3 linked regions of the Bombyx mori genome follow. The protein of the gene in region 1 interacts with the protein of each later gene in a pairwise test. Links are inferred from orthologs where the notes say so. Each region holds a gene or a part of one and is shown in the gene's direction. Other genes may lie near its edges. The genes, in order: amyloid-beta-like protein, fasciclin-2 and JNK-interacting protein 1.

What was found.
Region 2: the proteins of amyloid-beta-like protein (region 1) and fasciclin-2 interact in binary tests that used the Drosophila melanogaster proteins (3 or more experiments, as listed by UniProt). The link is inferred for Bombyx mori from reciprocal best matches to the Drosophila melanogaster genes Appl and Fas2.
Region 3: the proteins of amyloid-beta-like protein (region 1) and JNK-interacting protein 1 interact in binary tests that used the Drosophila melanogaster proteins (3 or more experiments, as listed by UniProt). The link is inferred for Bombyx mori from reciprocal best matches to the Drosophila melanogaster genes Appl and Aplip1.

Annotation. Positions count from the first base shown.
Region 1 is NC_085124.1:11,682,898-11,687,071, reverse strand, and holds the start of amyloid-beta-like protein, read left to right. Parts: upstream 1-1,351; 5' UTR 1,352-1,446; coding exon 1,447-1,512; intron 1,513-4,174. UniProt on the Drosophila melanogaster protein: During development, plays a role in the regulation of the neddylation pathway. Appl and APP-BP1 interact antagonistically during development.
Region 2 is NC_085124.1:10,075,482-10,079,141, reverse strand, and holds part of fasciclin-2, read left to right. Parts: coding exon 1-47; intron 48-161; coding exon 162-309; intron 310-385; coding exon 386-578; intron 579-1,345; coding exon of another isoform or gene 1,346-1,434; exon of another isoform or gene 1,435-2,038; intron 2,039-3,660.
Region 3 is NC_085107.1:7,551,794-7,555,453, reverse strand, and holds part of JNK-interacting protein 1, read left to right. Parts: intron 1-2,169; coding exon 2,170-2,424; intron 2,425-2,505; coding exon 2,506-2,706; intron 2,707-2,830; coding exon 2,831-2,948; intron 2,949-3,660. UniProt on the Drosophila melanogaster protein: The JNK-interacting protein (JIP) group of scaffold proteins selectively mediates JNK signaling by aggregating specific components of the MAPK cascade to form a functional JNK signaling module.

The DNA of each region.
Region 1 (4,174 bases):
TTAAGAGAAATAATTTTGGAAAATCTATACTAATATAAATAAATCTACAGTGGTTTTTACGGATGTTCCGTTATAACTAGTGAACCATGCATCCGATTGGTTTGAAACTTGGTATCCATGTAGAAAATACATGTACTTAATGGATAGGCTAATATTTATATGAGTGTTGGACTTCCTACACTAGTTGCGGGGGCGTTAATGATGAGAATCTTTGTGGGGGGAGAAATAATAATGTTAATTTTAAATGACCAGCGAAGCAGACGGGTACAGCTAGTCGTTAACAAAGTTAAGAAAAATTTAAAATTAAGTTCGGAGATTTTTACACTGACCGTGATACATACATTAAGTATGTTTATTCGGAATTCATTTTAAACCAACAGAAAACTTTGAAATTTGTACGTAGAAATTTAACTTGGTTAGTTAAGCTTACATTACATATTCGCACTGTGTCCATGTAAATCATATACTAGGATACTATACCTATAACCAACTTCCAAATATTTTAGAGAGATAATTAGCTCAAAGAGTTAATTAGCCCATTCTATAATAGAGTTGAGATTTCGACATCATGGCGCAATGATGACCCCGATGACCATTTAATACCGACGAAGTGAGCGGAAAACATAACAAAAATTATATTTTATAAAAGTAAAAATACCCCAAATAGTGTCATGTGGAATAGTGAAAATCGTAAAAACCGTGCAAAAATGCTTTAAGCTGTATGTTTAATAGTCTAGTAATATAACTAGAATTTATTGATAGATTATCGTTTGATAATCCTATTAAAGTACTAGAACCGTCTATAATGTTCGAAAATGACCTTCGACATGAGAAACGAGATACTCATACGGGACTTAACATCGGCCGTCGGTAATAAATTTTCCCAAGACAAAGTTGTCGCCTACCATGTACTTAATAAGACTTCATACGCATGTTACGAAAATTTATTAATACATCCAAAATGCCTACATGTATGTACGTACTTTACGCTTCGATGACTCATCGTATAAAAGTTGTTTGAACAGAAAATTTATGCTTAATTTTCACATGAATTTTATGAACAACAGAGTAATGTTAAGAGACTGTGGCCAAAGGAAACTGTTGTTTGGTAGTTAAATTTGAAAAAAAAATCGTCTGTTTAAAATGACGCATCATTGGAAAATCCAGACAAAGCTAGACGAAGACTATTCGTTATACCCTTCGATAGAGTCCTCATTGTGCGCTGCGTTTTTGCTAGTGCGCGTGCGTTATCCCTCTACGTGTAGCTAGCTCTCTCTGTCGCACGGGAGGGGCAGTATTCTCCATCTCTGTCCCGGGAGGGTCGATCTATACGACGCTAGGTACGACTACGGTGCCATACCAAGCCAGCAGTACGCAGGTTTCTGGCGTCCGAAGCGAACGTCAGTGGTAGCCAGGCGATTACAGGAACGCAACGCGGCCGCAAAAATGACGCGCGCCGTGCTTTTTATAAGTGTTTTTACCGTACTGTTGGACGTCCTCCACGCCGGGCAGGTGAGTTATGCTTAAGAATTTTGCAGGTTTTTATTATTTCGTAGGTTATCCGGCTGGTTTGGCATCGTTTCGAGGCATATGAAGCCGAAAATCGATGGCACGCGTTCACTAATGTTTTCAAGATCGTCGCAAGCTGAAAGGAAGCAGTTTACACGGCAGCGGATGCCATAAAAGTTGTTTTCGTTAACGCTTAGGTTTGAGTTTTTTTTAGGTATTCGTAGGTTGCGTAACACACGCCGGCGGTTTCGCCGACGGCCCGGAAAATTGGCTTTGCCGTCGGCAACTTTTTCAACAGTAACAAGAAGATTCTTTCCCTTATTTTTAGGACATATTCGAGTATATGTGAAGTTTTCTTTTTATTGCGTATACTTTTAGATAGGTCTTCAAGAGTAGCAGTATAGATCGGGATTTATATGGCAAAGAGAACGGATATATCGTTCTTTGGAATCTTAACATCAAAGATGACATGATAATGATCATCTTTACGCGTTATGTAATTTCTAAATCACGAAATGTTAGGGGTTTTTAAATAAACGTGGATCTTAACGTGTTAAAGCCTTAATCTAATACGTAAGCGCGTTGCAAATAATTGTTCGTTCGATAAATTCATAATTCCGCATTTTAAATTTAGCATAAAATGATTTCGAAGTTGAAGTTGTTTTAATTATTAACTGACAAGTTTATAAAGCTAATTATCGTTCTAAAAAATCTTTTTCTCGATAAAACTCATCACGTTGCCTTGAAACTTGTAAGTATACTTGAGACCTTAGAAATTATATCTCAAGGTGGGTGGCGCATTTACGTTGTAGATGTCTGTGGGCACCAGTAACCACTTAATACCAGGTGGGCTGTGAGCTCGTCTAACCATCCCAGCAATAAAAAAAACTTGAATATTTGAATAAATGAATTATAAGAGTAGGTATATTGGTTTTACTTTAACCATTTTTGTTGGAATTGAGCAATATTAAAATCCTAAGGATTTTTTTTAAATGGATTTCGAAATCCGAAATGTTTCAGCAAAAAAATATTTGTATTAAAAAAATTAAATGTAATAAAATATATATTTAATAAATACAAATATAATTTTCATGTAATAATTATAAAACAAATACGTGGAATTGAAGAAAACACTGAAAGCTTTAAATAAATTAATTTAAAATTATTTTTTATATAAGTAGTGATTTATATAAATAGAGAACAACTAAAAAGACACAAAAAATATAATAAACTTCAAATTAAATTTAAAGAAAAAAAAACTCTAATTTATCAACTTCCGAGATTCGATTTAATCAATTACCAAAATAATTAAATACAGGTTTATGTTAAATCATGTGATTTAAAGAAATATATTTAATATATTATAACATTTATATAAATTAATATTACAGAGCTTAAATCTATAACTGAACATAATATGAGATTAAGTCGGTTCGTAGTTATGATTCGAAATCCAAAAAAAGGTCCCCCTTTAAAATTAAATTACCATAAATATGGTACATGTATAATTATCATATCTAGACCGCATTACTTATTTTTAACTGTGGTAATATTTAGGGTGACACGCCAGGGACTTACGAAACATGAGCCGTGTTATAAGTATAAGCTTAGAACGATTGTAATCTAACACCTACAACGTATATTATACCAAAATTCTATTTCAACATGAGTAAAAGAAAACTCTAAATCACTGAAAAGACTGCTGTGATATTTTTTATATATAAATAAAAAGATTTTCTAGCCACAACACTACTCTTCCACTTTTTAGGAATTAATCATTAAAAATAAGGCATTCGATTTTCGTTTAGCTTAGCTCGCGTGGACTACACCTTATAACGCGTGGGAGAAGATCCGTACGCAGTAGTGGGATGAAAGGAGTGGTTTTCGAGGGCTTAAACTATTTCTATATCGATACAGAAAGTTCTTGAAAATCGATTAAGTGATGCAGAGTAATTTGGGCGTGCAGGAAAACGTAATCGACGTACTTTGGTATTTTAACTAGTTACGCAAGCGATTTAGAATTGCATTTCTATATTAAAGCGCTGTTATTGACATTAACCATATGAAAATTATTAACGTTATTTATCGATTAGGTACCACTATAAAAACGCATTTGTAATATTTATGAAACTTTTTAGAATGTAATTATTTATCTATCTCACGTTTTGTACACGGGCCTAGGGATAGACCGAAAAAAGCATAACAACGTAAAAATACACCGAGAACGGACATCTCTTTGAATTTTTAATTAATAATAAAATAGTGACGTGTTTTTTCCTCACTAATATTCTAGAAATTAACTCGGCATTACCAATTTTACATGCATTTCTTAACATTTTATGATTTGTTTAGTAATTTTATACGGACTTTTTATTTTTCATTTAATCATTATTTTATACAAAGACAACAAAAGACATATCAAAAGAAACTCTATTCCAACCGGGTGTGCACAATACACTTTTTTCTTTCTTTTTTCAGAAAAAGAAACAGAGTCTAAGAAGTAAAATATGTAGAAAAATGTCCGAATTCTATTTAGCAGTTTTTGCGTGATGCGCGCACAACGAGAGACTATTAGTATCATTTTTTTATACAGATTTATAATATTGTTAGAATAATACCTAACTGTCTACTATGGTGGTGGTTCTAAAAGAAAATATGCTATAAA
Region 2 (3,660 bases), about 1.6 Mb from region 1:
GGCATTGGTAGTTGGGGATCTCCTATTACGGTTATCATGCCAAGAAGGTAAGAAAAATACACAAACTTTTTTTTATTTTGGTTCTGTAAAGCGTAGAATTTTTGATCATAGACTTTTGCATTCATTGCCTTTTTTTTTTGATAACCTTTACTATGATTCAGGTCACCACCAGAACAGCCGAAATGGAGAGAGAACCTTAGCTCGGAATCGCTTATTCACGGAAAATACGCAGACAGATATGAACTGAAGTGGAAAATACCCGCTCATAATGGGGAGCCTATTGACATGTACGAAATCCGCTATTGTCCGGTAAGTGAATCTTCCAATTAATTGGAGTACGTAAACGATTTGATAGATCTTTAATAAGCTAACCCTTTCGACGCAGGTTTTGAAGATAAGCGGCGAATGGCGTGTGTCGTCGGAAAACGAGTGCGTTACCCAAGAACTTAAGTCATTCGAAGCCATTACATACGAAGTCAGAGGGCTACATCCGGACACTCGTTACCGCATTCATCTGCGGGCTCATAACCAGCTCGGTTTCTCACTGCCCGCCCAACTGTACGTCCAAACTGCTCTTGGTGAGTACAATAAAGAGAGTAATGAAGTGCCGTTACGGGCGGGATTCTACGATGTCTACACTGCGTCTGAACCTTTAAAGCCCTCCTCAGCTACGACCGCTAACTATTATGTTCGTTCCCTCGTCGCGTCCTTTGTATTGTGTTTGTTTTTGTGAACTGCTACTGATTCCGAATTGTGTTAGTGCTTCGGTGCGCTTCCTGACAGTTGGTTTTCGATCATGTAATTATAAATAACTGTGTGAACAACTATTTTCGCATTCTAAACTTTTATTAGTTTTAAAATTGGTTATGCCGCTTCGATAAGTACAATTCTATGAGACGCGAGCTGTTAACCAGTTTGATCATTAACCATTGTTTATTTTTTCGATTATTTTGATTTGTTTAATTAAATTAAGTTTCGTTGTATTTCTTTTTCGATTTATTTAAGAATGAGATCTTGCCAATTAACTACATCAAAAAAAAAACAGATTAAGGTACAAATAAACGATAACAAAATATTTTACTTTCGTTTTTGATTCATAGTTAAGTTGTGAGATCTATGTTTTAGTTTTTAAGTTCATTGCTAATTTACTAAATTTAGTTTATTTAAATTTTCTTCATTAATGCCCTGTTATGTTAGTGTTAAATTATTGTGTATGGTAAGTTATGATTATTATTATTCACAACATCATTTTTTTATTTTTTATTTTTTTTTTGTAAATTTCATTTCATTTTTATTTAATTGAAATAAAAATGCTTATTTAACAATAATAGTAAATATTTTCTAGGTAACCCAAATGGATGTCCCAGCTATTTGAGATGGGCAAACACTAAACTGGACATTATAGCTACAGTTCTTGTATTATTCTTAGTTTGAATAAATAAAAAAACACTAAATTATATCTAACAAAGTCCAAAGTTGACTTATTGTTGTTTAGGAAATAATTATTGTGATAATATAATTTGTTTGTCTGTAAATACGTAACGGTGTTGATTCAATGATTAAAAATATAATAATTTATAATAGATCTTTGAAATTTTAAATTTGTTGTGCCAATTTTTTTAATTGAAAGTTCATAGAATGAAAAACGCAAGTAGTTTTAATATGTAATATGGCTATAAAAATTATCACTGCCATTTAATTCAAAATATTTTCCTTGCAATAATAAATAATGTAATGCCAAAAATTAAAAAGGCTTACACAATATAGACATAGATTAAGATTTAAGAGTAAACTTTTGTGTACGAATTTTTTGATGAGTATTTTGTCCTTTTGGTATAATATAAGTATTTTAAAAATAATGTAAGACGTTCCAGTGGTGATATCATCTGAGAGACTAGTAAACATTGAGATGTTGAGTGGTTAAATGAAAAAACAAAAGCGGTTAGATATTATACAATAACTACTACTAGGAGTGTGAGTGATTGTGATGTTTGAGTAAAAAGACCAATGTGAAACATAATAAATGTTTGAAAAACAACATCCTTAATTTATTCTGTCGCTAAAATAAATGTGTTAGTTTGTTTTATTGATTCAAAGTGATACAATTTGCAGCAATTCCTCGGTACCGTATTGAAATACATGAAAATTTAAAAAATAAATTAATCCGATTAAAATATTTATAAAATCTGAAGAAAAGAAAAACTATTGAGTGTAACAAAAATTATTATATAGTCTCTCTAGTCACACTTCGTTCTTAGTGCCGCTAATTGTATGAATAGTATCAGTGGTTTGAAATTACTCGCGTGCCGCTTATTTAAAATAGAATATGTGTACCATATACAACAGTACACCCAAGTTTTTATGATCCGATTAATTATATAAAAACGCATAAAGGAAAAATTTATACACAGATTTATACACAGACCTTTATTTAGTAGATATATAATTATAATTAATAGACTAATAAATAAATTAATATATTAACCAAAAGAAAGCTGTCAAGATGCTTATCAAGGAACCAATCCATTAGCCAATCCCTAACTGTTGACTGTTTGTCGAGTGTGTGTTGTGTCGCCCTCATGAGAATTGGGTAAATATTATCTTTTACATTAAATATGAAACCCTTAATTTAGTTCATAGTGATGCTGCATAGTTTTCTTTGGAATGTACTAATTACCTATTTGTGCATGACCTATTTAATACACCCTTCGATGAGTTTGTTTCACATTCTTCCACTAGCTTGTTCCATGCATCGGTGATTAACAAAATGTGATATCGGCGGTCAGTTTTCTGAGGCATCTTTATTTTACCATTCAAATTCATTTTTGTATTAAACAAGATATTTCGGATGAAAATTATCAGTATTTTATTTTCTGATGCATGAAATAGTAAAGATATTAGATTTTTTTATTTGAATTTTAATTACAGGGTGTTTTTCTTGTGAATTTAGTGAAAATATACCGATTATTGTTATATTTTCGCTTACAACGTTTTAAAAAAAGTTTAGGTGATGGCTGTCATGACCCCGAGCAATAGTGACCTTATATAATGTTTACGTTAATTTATTCCCAAGTTAAATAGATCTTGCTAATGCTTTAGAGAAAAAAGATCTATTGTCATGGGGTTTGAACATTTATTTCGCAAAAATTAAATATTATGGAATGTTTGCATCTTGACAACTTTACTTTTCTTATTATTATTTTCTCATAATTAGTATTTAGGTTAAAAATTTTATGCGTCATTTGTTTAACATCATTCATCATCATTATTTTCACATTCAAACCCCATTTCATGATAGCGAAGTGCTTACTGTTTGTGAATTCACATTTCAATACTCGTTCTGGAAATCACTTTCGGTAGCTATTGGTGATTGGGTGCACGTAATTTATTATTTGGAAGCACTCCCCATTTTTCACATTGATCGTAATGAATGTAAAAAGGCTTGCTGTATAGTTATATATTGAAATAAAATACTATGCATAGCGTTACGTTTATTACAACTCCATACTCATTAATCTAACATCCTCAGCTTCTACATGATGCATAAAACTAACGATACAAAGAGCAGTCGATGTTTGCCCGATGCTTAATAAAAATTTTATAAGTCTAAATAAAAAATATTTGGTGCGTAATTCTACTGCTCTTGAATTTGGATTGTAG
Region 3 (3,660 bases), on another chromosome or scaffold:
TTAAAACACAATTGGTCCGGTTACAAAAGATAAAGCTTGCTAAAAGAAAACGATAGATATTGCATCACTCTCTACTTTCCCGCCGAAAAGGATTTTTTTTATTCAGAGCAAACACACTTTGTATGCGGTTTACCTGAATCTACATTCATTGTCACTGTCCATTGACGTCATGAATCAAAGCGGTTGAGCGACTGGTGGCAGAAATTAAAAATGTACAATTACCACCCCATCGAACAAGTCTATCTATTTATGAAATCAGTTTTAATTAATATTATATATCGTTTTATAGATAATATAATCAGTATAATCATTTCTTTTTACCGAGATAAACATACATACACACACCCAGGCAAACAAACGCCGGCACACACAACACTCACAGACAATCAAACATACGCAGAGCTAATCTAACACAGAAAAAAAAACATCTTATAACACGATTATTTATTATATGTTTTTTTTTAATTGCCGAAATGACTGAGTTTGATCAGACCTTATTTGGTATAAATTAGTTCTTATTACAAAGTGAATGCCGTGCCTGGTCTACTTCCCGCTACGTCATCTTGAGATACGAGGTCGAAATCTCAATTGTATTATGCTTGTCCCGTACTCCAATCCGGAAAACATGACAACTCGCGGCAAAAATAGGCAGAAAAGTGGTAAGGCTTCCAACACGCCTTACTACCAGTAAACGTTAGCTAGGGTCGCCGTGCGCTCTGACGGAGGTGAACCCTCAGACCGGGCGAAAACGTCGGTTGGCGAGCTCGATGTGCTATTATAAAGTCGCTTTCAGACTACGCTATAATATAATAGCATATACTATTATAACACATAGCACATTTGCCTCGTGCCATCCGGTTATGGATTGAGCTCCCCTCCACGCTTTTCCCGAGCGCTACCACATGTCCTTCTTTAAAAGAGGCTTTTGGAGAGTATTAAGCGGTAGGCAGCGACAAAAAGCGAAATAAACAACAATATCGCATACCGTACATTGATGATAATATGGACACGTTCACACAATACTGTGCTATATATTATTGGCTAAGTATAGGCTGCTATACTATAATATGGCACTATAGTATAGCGTAGTCTGAAAGCAGCTTAATACATAGACAACACTGCTGCCCAGTTTTAAGGATATCAACATTAAAAAAAAACTGTGAATCCCTTTAACGTCCACTACGGGAAGAGATGGAGCGCTATTCTAGACAACATTTCGACCTCACATTTCAACAGAGCCAGAACATTTCAATTTGAAATACACCAGAAATTACCGCGATCAAATATTAAGTTATTTGGGTTTCCCGTTTATGCCTATTAAAGACAAGTTGTCTTTGGTGTCAAAAAATGTGTCTCCCGTTCATTTTCCACTTAATAGCTAATGCTGCACTAACTAACAATAACGCAGTTTGTTTATCAAAACAATACTTTTATTTCATTTATTTATTTATTTAAGGCTTACCGACAGGGTTTACAGTAAGACATAAAATAACATTGACATGTATAGACCGATTGATAACTGCAACTCTAATTAGAGGCAATCACAGCATGCATTACATTAATATATCAATAGAGATTTAATAATACTGTTAATAATAATAAAAAATTAAAAACAAAATAAAGACAATAAGGACAGTAATACCCGAGTACTCAGACCAAGGCTGAGGCTGAGGTTCAACAACAACTTTTTATATTTTTTTATAATTTTGACTTCGAAGATACGAATTATATAATATTTTCAGACTTTTATCTTTACTTGTGCTATAAGAGCATAACCTCTTGCCATATTTCATTATACTAGAGTAACAGAAAGTGCTCTATAAATTGCGTTAACTGAAAAGCTTGAGATTGAGTATGGCTTCCTTCGGTCGTAAAGCCTTTGTATTTGGAACTAAATCTAACTGCATATGTGTTCATAAGAATAACGACCTGAACACACAAAAACACTGATAGACAGTCTGACGACAAAGTGATCCTTTGAAGGTTCCATTTTTTCCTTATGAAACCTGAACCCTAAAAATGCCCTGGTGGCCCTTAATGCTTACATGCAACATCGACAAATATATAATTGCATGATTTCTTGATTATCGGATTAAAAGCATATTTTTTTTAAAGTAACAAATCTAAAGTGACGATTTAGTTCCTCATCTGGCGTTTTAACTTTTACAGCATCTATTCTAGCATGTGGCCAACCAGCATCTCTAGCTGATGAACTTGGGGCTCTAACCGGGATGCTCGTAAGACCAGGATGTCACAGCAGACCACTGCTCGTGCTAAAATGTGGCTATCTCCTCGACGAAGACTCCAGCCCAGATTCGGAGAGACTGCAAAGCTTGGGAGATGTCGACAGTGGACACAGCACCGCACATTCCCCTATCGACACGGGTCCAAAGAGTTTGTCGCCAATACCCTTACAGCAAAACGGTTCGTTCAGTTACTTAACAAAACGTGAATCAGTCAAGTACTTTAATTAAAAATATTTATATGTTTTTTTCATTCTTTTAGTGTCGCCCTCGTCCAGTTGCAGTATCAGTGGAATGAATTTTGCAGGAAATATGACCACAGTACCTCATAGTCAACTAGAAATGCTTGAAGCAACCCACAGAGGCCTACATAAATTTAACCCTAGGCATCACGATGAAATCGAGGTGGAAATAGGGGACCCTATTTATGTTCAAAAAGAAGCAGAAGATCTATGGTGCGAAGGTAGGGCGATCTTATAACACATTCATTCGAGATTATGCAACTAAAGTGATATTACTAATGTAACTCACCTATTTATATTATGTATAATAATTTTCATAAATAAGAATCCTGTTTTTCGTTTTAGGTGTAAATTTACGAACAGGACAGCAAGGAATCTTTCCCTCCGCCTACGCAGTCGATATGGATTACAACGACTTCGACCCAGCAAATGCCAAAGTAAAAAGGGAACGATATTTATTAGGGTGAGCAATTTATCTTGGGTTAGTTTTCTTAACGTAGTTTTGTATATGGTAAATCTCTCGTAGGGTTCCAGATGTTGTTGTCCGTTAATCTCTCGACAGCCAATACCGTCTTTACCATAAGGGCACACGGGGCCCGTGCCCAGGGCCCCCATTCTCAGTGGGGCCCCGAAGGACCGACAATTTGGTTACCAACTGTAGTCGAGAGCGGTTATTTTCGCAGCTTAAGAGAATAAAAAATGAATTGCGAACAACAATGTTACAAGAACGGCTGAGTAATTTGTCAATTATGGGCATGGAAAGTGATATCCTTCAAAAAGTTTACTTTAAAGATATAATGAAATATTTTTCTCAACAGAAATCCCGAAAGAAACCATTATCGTAATCGTAACCAAAAAACCAGCAGCATTCTAATATAATTAATATTTTTATATCATACTGTATTTGATTACCTATAATAAATGGTCATACTCAGTAAAAAATGTTATTATAATTCGCTTTTTTTACTTTCCAAAAGGGCCTCAAATTCTTGTGTGCCCAAGGGCCCCAGCCTAGTTTAAGACGTCCCTGTCGACAGCTTAATAGTTAGTAGCCGCAAGTAAGTAGTACATAGCATTACGAGAGCCGACCTCAGCTCTCGGTCGGAATCAGTACAAGAAAGAAAGAAGAGGAAGAAAGATATTTCAAAATGTTCGAGATCTGCGTATATTTGTTC